Linked DNA regions of Neurospora crassa OR74A. The protein of the gene in region 1 purifies or fractionates together with the protein of each later gene. This does not show direct contact. Links are inferred from orthologs where the notes say so. Each region holds a gene or a part of one and is shown on either strand. Other genes may lie near its edges.

Region 1 (4,175 bases):
TGAAGGCCTCGACACTGCTGGCGCGCGAAGAGCGGGGCTTGGCGACGTAAACCTTTTCGAAGAAGACCTTCAGCTGGGCGTAGAGAAGGTCGACGTTGCGGCCCCGGAAGATCTTGGCGACGAACTTGCCGCCAGGCTTGAGGACGCAGAGGGCGAGGTTGAGGGCTGCGAAGAGGAGCTGTGACTGGACGTAGATGTCAAGATCATGCAGGCCTGTGACGTCGGGCGCACCATCGCTGATGACCAGATCCACTGGGTGTGAGGCTTGCGGGTTCATGGTGCTTGGGTCGAAATCGGGGTCCAACGCCTTAAGCAAAAGCGGAACGGTGGCGGGATGTGTGATGTCGGCTCGGAGAGTGATGATTCCTGGCAGAGGGCTGATGGGCTGCAAGTCGATGGACACAATCTTGACCTGTTCCCTGGGAGCCGGCGTGCTCTCCTGAGTCGCCTGCACCCTCTGAACCTCATCCTGAGCGTCTTGCTTCTCGGGAAAGACGTTGAGCATCTGTTGGCGGAACTTGGCCTCACGGTCTTGCCAAGCACACCGGCCGAACTTCTCTCCCTTGATGAGAACCCTCGATAGAACCTGAGACCAGGAACCGGGGGCAGCGCAGAGATCGACCACACGAGTGACATTTTCAAACAAGTTGAATTCTGATGGGAACGCTCGGTGTTAGCGGTGATACACTTCTTTACATTACATATGCAATAAACAGTTCTTACCTTCGTCTAGTTGAAGAAGCTTGAAGGCACTTCTGGCACGCCATCCTTGCTCCTTTGCAAGGCGATAGTAGGCATCACGCTTGTCTTTTGATGATTTCCCCATTTTGAATGCTTCGCTCTCACTTACTTGTGTCGAATAATGAAGTGCCGCGAGTGGGTGACGAGAGTGAATGACGGGAGCTTGTGAAAGAGACTGGGCCCCACTTTTGCCTGGTGACGGGTCGCTGTCGCTGGGCGCCGATTTGGGTCCGTCTGCTGCAAATAGTCACCGCCAAAAAGGATTCTGCCGGCATAATTATCGAGCACCTTGGCGGCCCCAGCACTCGCACACCATAGACGCGCATACTTGGAGGGAAGGACTTTGGCGATAAACGAAAGCTTTGAATCATAAGATGTCGTCTCATGTTTTGTTTCCTCCATCAAAGTCAGACTGATTGTTTCCACGTCCTATTCTGTCGGCACCCTCTACACTACAAGCTTGTTAGCCAGACCTGGAATAGGTAGGCGGTGTCATTTACAGCACATGGGCTAGCCTGTTCCAGCTAGAGGCTGCTGCAACCCAGCTGCAAGGTGGAGCCAAAATTTCCATTTCACTTTTACAGCCATTTTCACTGAGCAGTGTCAACAACACCCTTCAAATCAAAGTTCATCAGTGCATCCAACAACCTCAAGCACTCAAACCCGACACCCTTTTCCACCCGAAAACGACGACATATTCACACCATGGCCGTCGATAAGAAGCGCAAGAACACAAAAGCCCCCGCCAGCGGGCCAAAGCGCCGCAAGACGCAACCGTCGTCTAAGCAGATCAAGCGACCTGTTTCCGTTGATGCGCTGGCATGGAAGACGGTCGACATTCCTGAAATGTTCGATGATGCGGAGGGTTTCTTTGGTTTGGAGGAAATTACCGGTGTTGACATTGTAAAGGATGGCGATGTTGTCAAGTTCGTAAGTTGGGTCATGGATGATGACAGCGACAGGACATGAATGAACTCACATATGTCTTTAGATGGCTGCGGTCCCCAAGTCGGAGGCAGAGGTAGAAGATGACGGCGAAGAGTTTGGTGGTTTCGACGACGAAGAGACACCGAAACCTGCTGGAAATGCGGACCAGGAAGTCAAGACATCAGAAACCAAGGCCGAAGCTGCGAGTACTCCAGCCAAGGAAAAGAAGGCCTCCAAGGACCAGAGGAAGCCAAAGGAGCAGCAAAAGCAGCAAAAGCAGCAAAAGCAACAGCCAAAGAAGGAGCAGCCAAATAAGGCAGCGAATAAGAAGAACGCCGAGGACAAGAAGAAGGCCCGCAAGAACGAGAAAACTACTGTCGAGCCGAAGGACCCCGAACTAGAAACCGATCTTTTCACCAAACTGGAGGAGCTTCCTGAGCCTGAAGAGGAGGAAATTGATATGTCCGAATGGGTGCCACTCGATTTGTCACCTCGTATGATCTCGTCCATCGCCAAACTCAGGTTCTCCAAGCCCACCGTGATTCAGTCCAAGGCTATTCCCGAGATCATGGCTGGTCACGACGTTATCGGAAAAGCATCCACCGGTTCGGGAAAGACGTTGGCATTCGGAATTCCCGTCATCGAAAGCTGGTTGAGCGCTGCTGAGACGAGGAAGCAGAACAAGGAAGAGAGAAAGGGCGCTACAGCGCTGATTTTGTCACCCACCAGAGAACTTGCCCAGCAGATCAGAGACCATCTTCAAGCGCTTTGCAAAGGTCTTCCTACAGCACCTTACATTTGCTCGGTTCTTGGTGGCATGGCCGTACAGAAGCAAAAACGACAGCTCCAGGTCGCCGATATCGTCATTGCGACCCCGGGCAGAATGTGGGAGGTTATGAGCTCAGATAACTCTGTGCTCGCTTCTCTGAGGAACATCTCCTTCCTCGTGTTGGATGAGGCAGATAGACTTCTTAAGGACGGTCACTTCAAGGAGGCCGAGGAGATTTTCAAGGCTCTTGACAGGCCACCGGTGGAAGAGAACAATGAGGATCAGAAGATGGGCGGTACTGATGAGGAGGGACAGGAAGAGGAAGAAGAGGACAGCGAGGAGGAGGAGGAGGAGGAGGAAGAGCACGTCAACAAGAGGCAGACTCTCATTTTCTCCGCCACGTTCAACAAGAACTTGCAGCAAAAGTTGGCCGGAAAATCCAAGTTCAAGGCGACGAGCACCCAGGACATGGAGTATCTTCTCCAGAAGCTGAACTTCCGCGAAACCCCCAAGTTTGTCGACGCCAATCCCGTCCACCAAATGGCCGAGAACCTCAAGGAGGGTCTCATTATGTGCGGCGACATGGAGAAGGATCTCTACCTCTATGCCACTCTCATGCTCCAGCCCACACGGCGCGCGCTTGTATTCACCAACTCGGTCAACTCTGTCCGTCGCCTAACCCCCCTCCTCGAGAACCTCAATCTTCCAGCCTTCCCTCTCCACTCGGGCATGATCCAGCAAGCCCGTCTGCGCTCTATCGACCGCTTCAAGGCCAACGAAGGCGCAAAGAAAAAGAACGGTTCTGCAGCTATCCTGGTCGCTACCGATGTTGCTGCCCGTGGTCTCGATATCCCCGACGTCGACCTCGTCATCCACTACCACGTCCCGCGCGCCGCCGAGGACTACGTGCACCGCTCCGGCCGTACCGCCCGTGCCTCCAACTCGGGCACGAGCATCCTGCTCTGCGGGCCCAAAGAAGCCGTGCCGACGCAGCGCCTCGTTGCCAAGGTGCACGCCCAGGCCGAGGTCAAGGCCGGCAACTCGGGCAACAACACCAAGAAGCTCGTTTCGAGCGGACTTCGCACCATCGATATCGACCGGCGCATCGTCGCCAAGTTGCGGGAGCGCGTCGACTTGGCCAAGAAGATCGCGGATGCGGTGCAGGCCAAGACCATGGGTGGAAAAGAGGACGATTGGATGAAGAAGGCGGCAGAGGACTTGGGCGTCGACTATGACTCGGAAGAGCTTGAGAAGGCGGGCAAGTGGGGTGGCAAGGGTAGCTCCAAGAAGCAGAAGCAGAAGGAGGCACAGCAGATGAGCAAGGGCGAGTTGGCGTCGCTGAGGGCTGCGTTGAGAGACCTCTTGAGCAAGAGGATCAACACGGGCGTCAGCGAGAGGTACCTCACTGGACTGGATGTTAGTGAGCTGCTGAAGGGCGAGCAGGGGCTGTTTTTGGGCCAGGTGGACGGATTGGGCTTGGATGATTAGACGCAGATTCATGGCTGTGGTATTGCATGTTTCCTTTCACGGTTAACCATTTAATTCTGAGCGGTGATCTACATATAGTATCCGGTCTCTTCACTCTGAGTAAGATGTCTTGTATTTTTTCTCTCGTGTTTTGTTCTATAAGGCACTAAAAGAACAGTTCACGTCTTGGACTGTGCTGCCAAGTGAGACAGGGTCCATGGGTCCATCAAGGTCTCCATCTTCCCCATGGCCTAGATTCTCAGTTGCTGTG
Region 2 (3,652 bases), on another chromosome or scaffold:
TGGATGAGATTTTTGGGCAGGAGCAGGAGCAGGAAGGTGAGGTAGAGGAGGTTGAGGGTGAGGAGGTAGATGAGACACAGGCAGAGGTGGAGGTAAAGCCGAAGGAAGAGAGCGTGGAGGATGTGATGAAGGCTGCGTTGGAGGCTGGGGATTTGGACTTTGATGAGGAGTTGACGCTGGGCAATAGCAGCAGTCAAGCGACGGTTGATGAGGAAGAGGTGGAGAGGTTGAGGAAGATGTCGAGAAGTCACTGAGCCGGCTCTCAAGCTGCTGGTCGAGTGCTGAACAAGAAAGGAAAGATGTCGACGATGCACCTATACCCCGAGACCGACTTGGCTACTTTTAGACGTTGGTAGATGAACCTTGTATAATCCTCAGAACAACCTGACTGGGCTCTGCAGAAGCCATCTAGTCTATGCTCCAGGTCAGTACAGTTTTCGCGTACAGTTTAGTTCAGAAAGAATCTGTCACGGCTGTTCTTGGCCTCGTCCCTGCAGATATCACAAAAATATCCTGTACAGTATTCACATTCCATTTTATCTATCCTGGGTATATCATAACAACCAAGTTCTGCTGCTTCCCTTCTCTTCATCAACAACCCCCTCTTTCCCGACCATTTTTCTTCCTCTACTCGGCATTCACACCCCTCCCCTTATTAATCTGCACCTTCTTATCCTCACCACCGCTGAAGATGCCCAGCTGATCCCACACCACGCTGAACACCTTGCACCCGTCGCCCGTCACACTGCTCTTCTTCTTCTTGCCCTGCTGGCTCTCGCGATCAATAACGTACACGGGCTCGCTGACGCTGCCCATGCCGCCCTCGTCCTTGGTCGCTGGCCGGACCGACCGCAAATCCCAGATCCGGCACGTCCCGTCGTGCGAGCCCGAAACCAGTGAGTACTCGTTCTCCGGGTTCGCCGCCAGACTGACCACCTTGTTGGCATGCCCACGCAGCGTCATGACGCTCGTCGCGGCCGTGCTGGTGCGCGGGTCGACGAGGGTAATGTGTCGGGCGGAGGTGCCGCAGGCGAGAAGGGGCGCCGAGGCCGAGGAGCGCGGCAGGGCAGCGAGAGAGAGGAGCGCATGCGAGGTTGTGAAGGTGCTGACCACGCTGGAGGTGGTCAGGTCGATGGTCTTGACGGTATGGTCCTGCGACACAGAGTAGGCAACGGTGCGGTCGCGGGGGTCGAAGACGGCGGCCGTGGCGGGCGCATTGTGGATGTTCATAAGGGCGAGCGGGCCGCGCTGGGCGGCGGTGACGGAGGTCGCGAGCTTGCGGCGCTTGGATGTGTGGGCGCCGGGAAGGAGCGAGGAATCGGAGACTTCGGGCGCGGACGCCTTGGAGGTGGTCCAGAAACCGATGGAACCGTCGGCGGAGGCAGTGAGGATGCGCTTCGAGGCGCCGTCAACCTCGAGCGAGTCGATCGAGGAGGTGTGGCCGTACAGTTCGAGAGTGGGCTTCAGCTCGCCGCGACGCTCGTACGACTCGCCCGACTCGGTGTACTTCCATACGCGAACTGTGCGGTCCATGCCGGCCGAGGCAATCTGAGTGCTGGAGAGGAATTTGGCAGCTTTTATGCTGGCAGTGTGACCACCGTGGCTGCCCGAGGGCGAGGTGCCAATCACATTTCCAGAGGCGTCCCATATCCTGAGGAGACCGTCGTACGAGGCGGAGAGGATGCGATCTTGGCCGCGCTGAAAGTTGTCGCCGGACCAGCGGCCCGCGGGAGAAGTAGCGGAAAGAACATCGACGGCGCTGACCCAGTCGTCGTGCTCAAAGCTGGCCTCGTATGTTGGTGGGATCAAACTGCGAACGTACTGAAGGGTGATGTTGGTTTCGAGCGAGAGGCCGTTGGCGTTGAGGTACTCTTCAAGACTGCCGCGGAGGAAGCTGCCGTTAACAAGGAAGTCGAAGGGGATCGAGTTGGTGTCGAGCATGGACTCGGAGTTGAGAATACGGGAGAGGCCATAACGGCGGATGTCGGCGGGGACAAGGAGCTGGCGCTTGCTCTCATCGAGCTGGATGTCCTCCTCCTGGGTGGTGAAGGTCACCCGGACCTGGGCGCCTGATTCGGTAGGGTGGTCCATGGCGGTGCCTGTGCTGTGATATTATGTGAATTGGGTAGTCGCTGTTCGGTATGGGCAGGCTGAATACTATCAATTGACAAGTAAAAGTCAGATTGGCTTAGATTACCGTGAAACAGGCGTCGTCGGGAGGAGAGTGTGGATGTTTACTTTGCAGCGGACACCACAAGGCCATGCCAAATCCAAGACTCCATCCAATTTTTTCTGTCCAGCCTTGCAGCGCAGGGGTCTGGAGTGTTCTAGCTACCCCACGTTCCCCTATCTTATCGGAACTTTATAGCGGGGCCGACGGTTCCTGTGAGGGTCACAGTGCTGAAGCGCCGCTACTATGTAAACTATACTAGTATAGAGTAGTACCGGTCATGTACCTGGCTTAATTGAACCCACTGGAGCTACGCGTCTCGAAATTGTCAAGCGCGTCGTCGAGTTTCGTCCCTTGAAGTCAGTTTCCGAGTCGGGCAGCACATGAATAAGTCACCAATTGCTTTTGTCGTTCTCACATCTTGAGCCATTGTCAGTATCAATCATACGATGGTCACCTTGGACGAAGTTCTCGGTAGCGGTTTGCTACAGAAGCCCTCGTGAGTAGCAGTGGATCATCCATCTTCCACTGGCGATCATCAGCTAACAACCCAACTTCACGAAGAGGCGATGCGCCCGAGGCTCTCCAGCGCCAGATCACCAACTACAAGCCCCTTCATACCTTCAAACTCGAAAAAACCCGTCCCTATCAACAACAATATGCCGATATTTACTTTTTGCGTCTTACAAAGATCAGGCCCGCCGTCGAGGCAGCCGCCAGCGCCGCTTGGGAGGGAACAGTGCTTGGTGGTGAGAAGGTCAAGAGGGTCGAGCGTGTCCTAGACGTTCGCCAGGGAGAACTATGCTGGGTAGCTGGAACAGTATATATGGACATGCCTCTAAAGCCCTCAATCCTCGAGGATGTCTCCAAGGATGTGAGTTTCAGCCTATCCTTTGGTGGACACCAGGCAGCTGACAATGATGTTATAGCGCTGGATCTCCGCTCCCACCTCGGTCGGCCACTACTACTCCGGCAACGGCGAAGACTCGGTAATGCTCGAAGACGACTCCGGCCGCATCCGTCTTGTCGGCAACGCTCTGCAAAACCACTTCATGGTGACCGGCTGCATCGTCGCGGTAATGGGCACCGAGAACGCCAACGGCGAATTCGAAGTCATCGACCTCCTCTTCGCCGAACTACCACCACAGCCCGAGCGCTGGTCGCTCTCAAAAGGCAAAAAGGAAGCAGACTCCTCCGAAGACGTCGAAATGATGGACGCCTCTTTCTCCAGGCAGTCCCACAAGCCCTCCTCTAAAAAGATTGCCCTCGTCTCCGGCCTCGAGTTCTCCAACGCCGACACCTCCTACGCCATGGAACTCAACCTGCTTCTCGAGTATCTCCTCGGCGAAGCGCTCGATCCCTCCGTCCAACGCGACGAGCTCTCACACATCACCCGCCTCATCATAGCGGGGAACTCCATCTCCACGACGGCGGCCGAACAGGCCAAACCCGCGGCTGCCTTCGACACCACCACCGTAACAA
Region 3 (4,162 bases), on another chromosome or scaffold:
GTATCTTTCTAATCATAATAATAGCACATCCGAGCACGCCAATCAAGACAAGCAGACTGATTAACCTGTCCTCTCGCTTCCGTTTTCCTTCCTTGTGTTTTGTTCATCTTTTGTCTCGTCCCATTAAACGCTGTTCTTTTACATCCAGAGACGGATGGTGCCGTCAGCACCGGCAGACACACACCACGGCTCACGCGGGTGCCAGTCCATATCCAGGACACCAAGCTTGTTGACGACCTTGTGTCCCTTGAGCACCTTGACAGGCACAATGGTGGGGTTCTCCAGCTGATCGTTCGGGACCTTGCCGTGGAAGATTTGGAGAGTGCCGTCGTCACTGGCATCAGCGAAGAGCGGCAGGCCGCCCCTGTGGTACTTGACCTGACGAACCGCCTCGCTGTGGAACCTCATCGTCTTGTACGGACGAATGGAAAGATCCAGATCGTGCCACAAGAGACGCTTGTCGTAACTGCCAACAATCAAGTTGTCACCGCCGGGGTGGATATCGAACGAAGAAATCCTACAAGTCAACAGAGTTAGCAAATCAATTCCAGTCACATTATCCGGCTAGCCATGGGGATACGTACCACTTCGCGCCAGGCTGGACAACCTTGACCAGCTCGAGCTTCTGCAAGTCGTAGCAGCGAATTGTTCGTTGAGTGGCGACGAAGAAGAGAGGACGGAGGGGATGGAAAGACGCTGTCTGAGCCAAGCCAGAAAGCTTGCGGAAGGGAATCTGGGTGAGGTGCTTGGAGAGCGTATGGATGGCTACGGAGCTCCTCTGTCCGGAAGGCGATACTGTCGCAAAATGGTCTCCTTTCCTGTGCCAGTTGATGACCTTCACGGTCGACCTGACTGTGATCCTGATCAAGACACCCTCATCCTCGAGCTTAGCACCGGGGCGGGCCCACTTGGCAGGAGGCTCCTTGCCGGGAGCAGCGCCGTGTTGCTGACCGTTTGTAGCATAACCGAAGCCAGCCGACAGGATATCTCTGCTAGCCTGGTCCAAAGCAGGAGTAACGCTGGCGTGTGTAGGAACCATGAGGTAGACATCCTCACCCACAGCAGCGGAGAGAATGAAAGAGTCCTTCGCGGGCCTCCACCTAACGGTGTTGACAGCCTCCTCACTGCTGAGCTTGACGGACCAGACTTGGCGACCCGTCAACAGCTCCCACACACGTACCGTACCGTCGTCGCCACCGCTAGCGACAGCAACACCAGTAGGGTCGATGGCAACGCTTCTTACACGGCCGTCATGGCCGCGGAAAACTGTTTGGGCAACTGTAGGGAAAGGCTTGAGCTCAGAAGGCGAAGGAAGCTTGGGCAGGAGCGAGTTGGGATCGATGTTGAGCCTGTTCTTCCGCACACGAGGAGCAAGGTAAAGGTCCATGCACCTCTCGAATCTCTCCTTGACGATCTCGCCATAACCGGGAACTTTCCGCAAAGAGTCGTATTTCTGAGGGAGATACTCCTTCTCGCGCTCCTCGGGGTCGAGCTTCTCCCACTCCTCTCTCTCCTCCTTGGTCGGTAGGTATTCTGCGGGCGGGTTGTAACTCATGTCGAAACCAGGAGGAGGCAGCTTGGGTGCCGGGATGTGCAAGGGGTTGACTTCTTGTGGCACCTCATCCTGCCAGATATCAAAGTACTGCTCCTCCTCTTCCTCCTCCTTCTCGCGCTCCTCAGGGGGCTTGTAGGGCAGGATCCTGCCTTCCCTAATGGCGCGAACAAGCTTCATAATCTTCTTGGCCTCGTTCTTGGAGGGGAGGAAGCGACGCTTGGGCTCAGGGGCAGCGCTCAGGGCTATTGACTTGTTAGTTGCACCATTTCAACAACGATAAGTGTAGATAGATTTTGACTTACGCATTTTCTCCTCAATACCAGTAAAGTATTCCACGGTTTCAGGGTAGGGGTTTTCCAGCTCGTTGGGAATCATACCCATCTGGACACGGCGAACAAGCTCCAATTCATCATCACTACGGTATGGCAGTCAGTAAGCGTGACCCGAAGAAACCGAGCAAGACAAAGGAGGATGGGTTGGGTGCATACTTGAGGTTGAGAGGGTTGCCGGTGTGAATATCCGTAAGGCCAGTCCAGCCCTTGGGCACTTCGATGCTGTCGAGGAGAGCATCAAGAGCGTCGCCAGTGGCCGGGCGCATAATCTTCTTGCCGTTGATATCATAGCCGATATGGGGATAGCTGTCGTAGAAGCTCATGGGGATGTTGCCGATGGTGTTTGGCGCTTCTTGGGCATCGGAATCGTCCGAATCGTAGACGGGGTCGATCTCACTGTTGCATTCTCGAGTTAACTATGCTGGCATGGAACGATATTTGATCCATTTGCAGAACAACAACATACTCGTAGACGTAGCGCTCGTTGCCGTTCGCGTCCTTTTCGATCCGATAGTTCTTGTCTCCATCATCCTTCTCCGGCCGCTTGGGGTCGACTCCGGGTATCTCAATCTCGAGTTCCTCTTCTTCGTCCTCGAGAACAAGTTTGCCCATTGCCTTGTCGCCCTCAGCATCGGAGGGAATGTCGTCGCTTAGTAGGGAGCCCTCCTCATCTTCGTCGTCGCTGGCCTCACTTCCGCTTTCCTGCTCGCCGTCCTGTTCGTGCTCATTGTCGTCGAAGTCAGAATCGAACTCGTCTTCGCTCTGCGACAGGGCGCCGTCAAAATCGGGTGCAATCTCGTCGTCGGACTCAGGCTCGGCGTCCTGGACCTTTCGCTTCTTCTCGGTGGCTTTTGGCCCCATTGTGAATGTGTGTTGATTTTTGGCGTGTTTTCTGCTGGTAAAACACCCAGATAGCGTCGCAGCGATAGGCGTCGAAAATTCCTAGCATACGAATTGGCCTGGGACTTTTTTTTCTGCCGGTTCTACAGCTCATGGCGGGGACGAGTTGGTCTCACCGCCCTTGGCATTTCTGGCAGCTAAAGAACCATAACATATTACCCTATCGGTTTAGCGTGTCAAAAGACAAATGAAGCCAGGAGCATGCACTCCGTGTCTCCGTCCCTCTGATACCGACTTCAAATTTTTAGCCTTATTTGTTACTTGTATATCATGGATGAGATGAATACCGAACTCCAACCTCGATGCAGCATCCCTCTGCACCCCTACACCTGGCTTCAACCACGCACGATTCCACTTCTGTAGTTCGTCCTGCCCGTTCTGTGGGTATTGGCAGTCAAAACTGGCAAACCAGCATCAATCAAATACCCGGCGTGATCAGATTGAGTCTCCATGGATCGCTTGTAATTACAGACTTTTGTTCGAATTTTACCCCATTGCCTCTTACACTACGGTTTTTGTCACCATCGCCGTCTTTTTGCGCTTTCCAAGCATGGCAGTTGACAATATGTAGTGTAGCACGACGCCTGCTAGGGAACCTTGATGGGCTAGGGTTACTCGACACCTTCACACTACACTACTGCCATAAAACCCACGCTATAGTCATCCCATAACTAGCAAAAGGACATCATTCATGCCTTTGGCCAGTGAGCCACATATATGTCCAAAGGCCTGGGTGTTTGACTGATACACTACCAGTGCCATTTGAGGCAACGCGGCAACAAAAGTCAGTCTCTGCATTATCTGTGTCAATTGCGGCTTATTAATATGGCATCAGGTCTGGCGCGACCAGGTGATCTTTGATTGCTTGCGTTGGCTCGTTAACATTGCGGGCCTGGAGCATCTTGTCTGAAATCTGCTTTCTTTGCCCTCCTCTGAAAACGAGTCGATCCTATCATCCTAGGTCCCTTGTTACAACGTACATATCCATGCTGTTTGCCCATCTACTGTGTACACCACACTAGCGTCTACATAGATAGTGTCTTGGAGTACCACCGGGGCGATTTCTGTGTCTTCTAAGCGGGGCTTGCGGAGAGCCTTAGACGTTTACCTTACCACTCAACCCTTTTTATCCACCACACATCTACGCCCGCGGAAAAGAAGGGGAGAAAAAAAAAGCAAAATAAAGGAAAGGCCGGTTGCGGAAAACAGCCATGATCTCAAACAGCGAAGTCACTAAGGAGAAAGAGCCGGTGAAACGCCGTGCCTGTGACGAGTGCCGTATGTTTCGTCCCGCTCCCCGTTTCGATCCATATATTCATCTACCTCTACCCTCTAGTCAGCAACCATGACTGCCCAACCGCACTAATGTATCTAA

The links. Proteins that work in one complex are often made in the same cells at the same time.
Region 2: the proteins of NCU04041 (region 1) and NCU03764 purify together in Saccharomyces cerevisiae (affinity purification with mass spectrometry; 5 studies listed by BioGRID). This does not show direct contact. The link is inferred for Neurospora crassa OR74A from reciprocal best matches to the Saccharomyces cerevisiae genes MAK5 and YTM1.
Region 3: the proteins of NCU04041 (region 1) and NCU03321 purify together in Saccharomyces cerevisiae (affinity purification with mass spectrometry, with the first as the bait; 3 studies listed by BioGRID). This does not show direct contact. The link is inferred for Neurospora crassa OR74A from reciprocal best matches to the Saccharomyces cerevisiae genes MAK5 and ERB1.

The regions. Positions count from the first base shown.
Region 1 is NC_026506.1:2,535,043-2,539,217, forward strand, and holds NCU04041 (ATP-dependent RNA helicase mak-5), read left to right. Parts: upstream 1-1,363; 5' UTR 1,364-1,446; coding exon 1,447-1,671; intron 1,672-1,732; coding exon 1,733-3,925; 3' UTR 3,926-4,061; downstream 4,062-4,175. Other genes in the region: NCU04040 (tRNA (uridine-2'-O-)-methyltransferase TRM7), read right to left, coding at 1-654, 724-826. UniProt on the Saccharomyces cerevisiae protein: ATP-binding RNA helicase involved in the biogenesis of 60S ribosomal subunits and is required for the normal formation of 25S and 5.8S rRNAs. Required for the maintenance of dsRNA killer plasmid.
Region 2 is NC_026505.1:2,340,069-2,343,720, reverse strand, and holds NCU03764 (microtubule associated protein), read right to left. Parts: upstream 2,286-3,652; 5' UTR 2,092-2,285; coding exon 628-2,091; 3' UTR 513-627; downstream 1-512. Other genes in the region: NCU03765 (3'-5' exonuclease/helicase), read left to right, coding at 1-254; NCU03763 (DNA polymerase delta subunit 2), read left to right, coding at 2,620-2,669, 2,735-3,044, 3,100-3,652. UniProt on the Saccharomyces cerevisiae protein: Component of the NOP7 complex, which is required for maturation of the 25S and 5.8S ribosomal RNAs and formation of the 60S ribosome.
Region 3 is NC_026501.1:5,301,441-5,305,602, reverse strand, and holds the start of NCU03321 (eukaryotic ribosome biogenesis protein 1), read right to left. Parts: upstream 2,813-4,162; 5' UTR 2,749-2,812; coding exon 2,354-2,748; intron 2,284-2,353; coding exon 2,044-2,283; intron 1,971-2,043; coding exon 1,858-1,970; intron 1,798-1,857; coding exon 585-1,797; intron 518-584; coding exon 139-517; 3' UTR 1-138. Other genes in the region: ada-4 (all development altered-4), read left to right, coding at 3,999-4,065.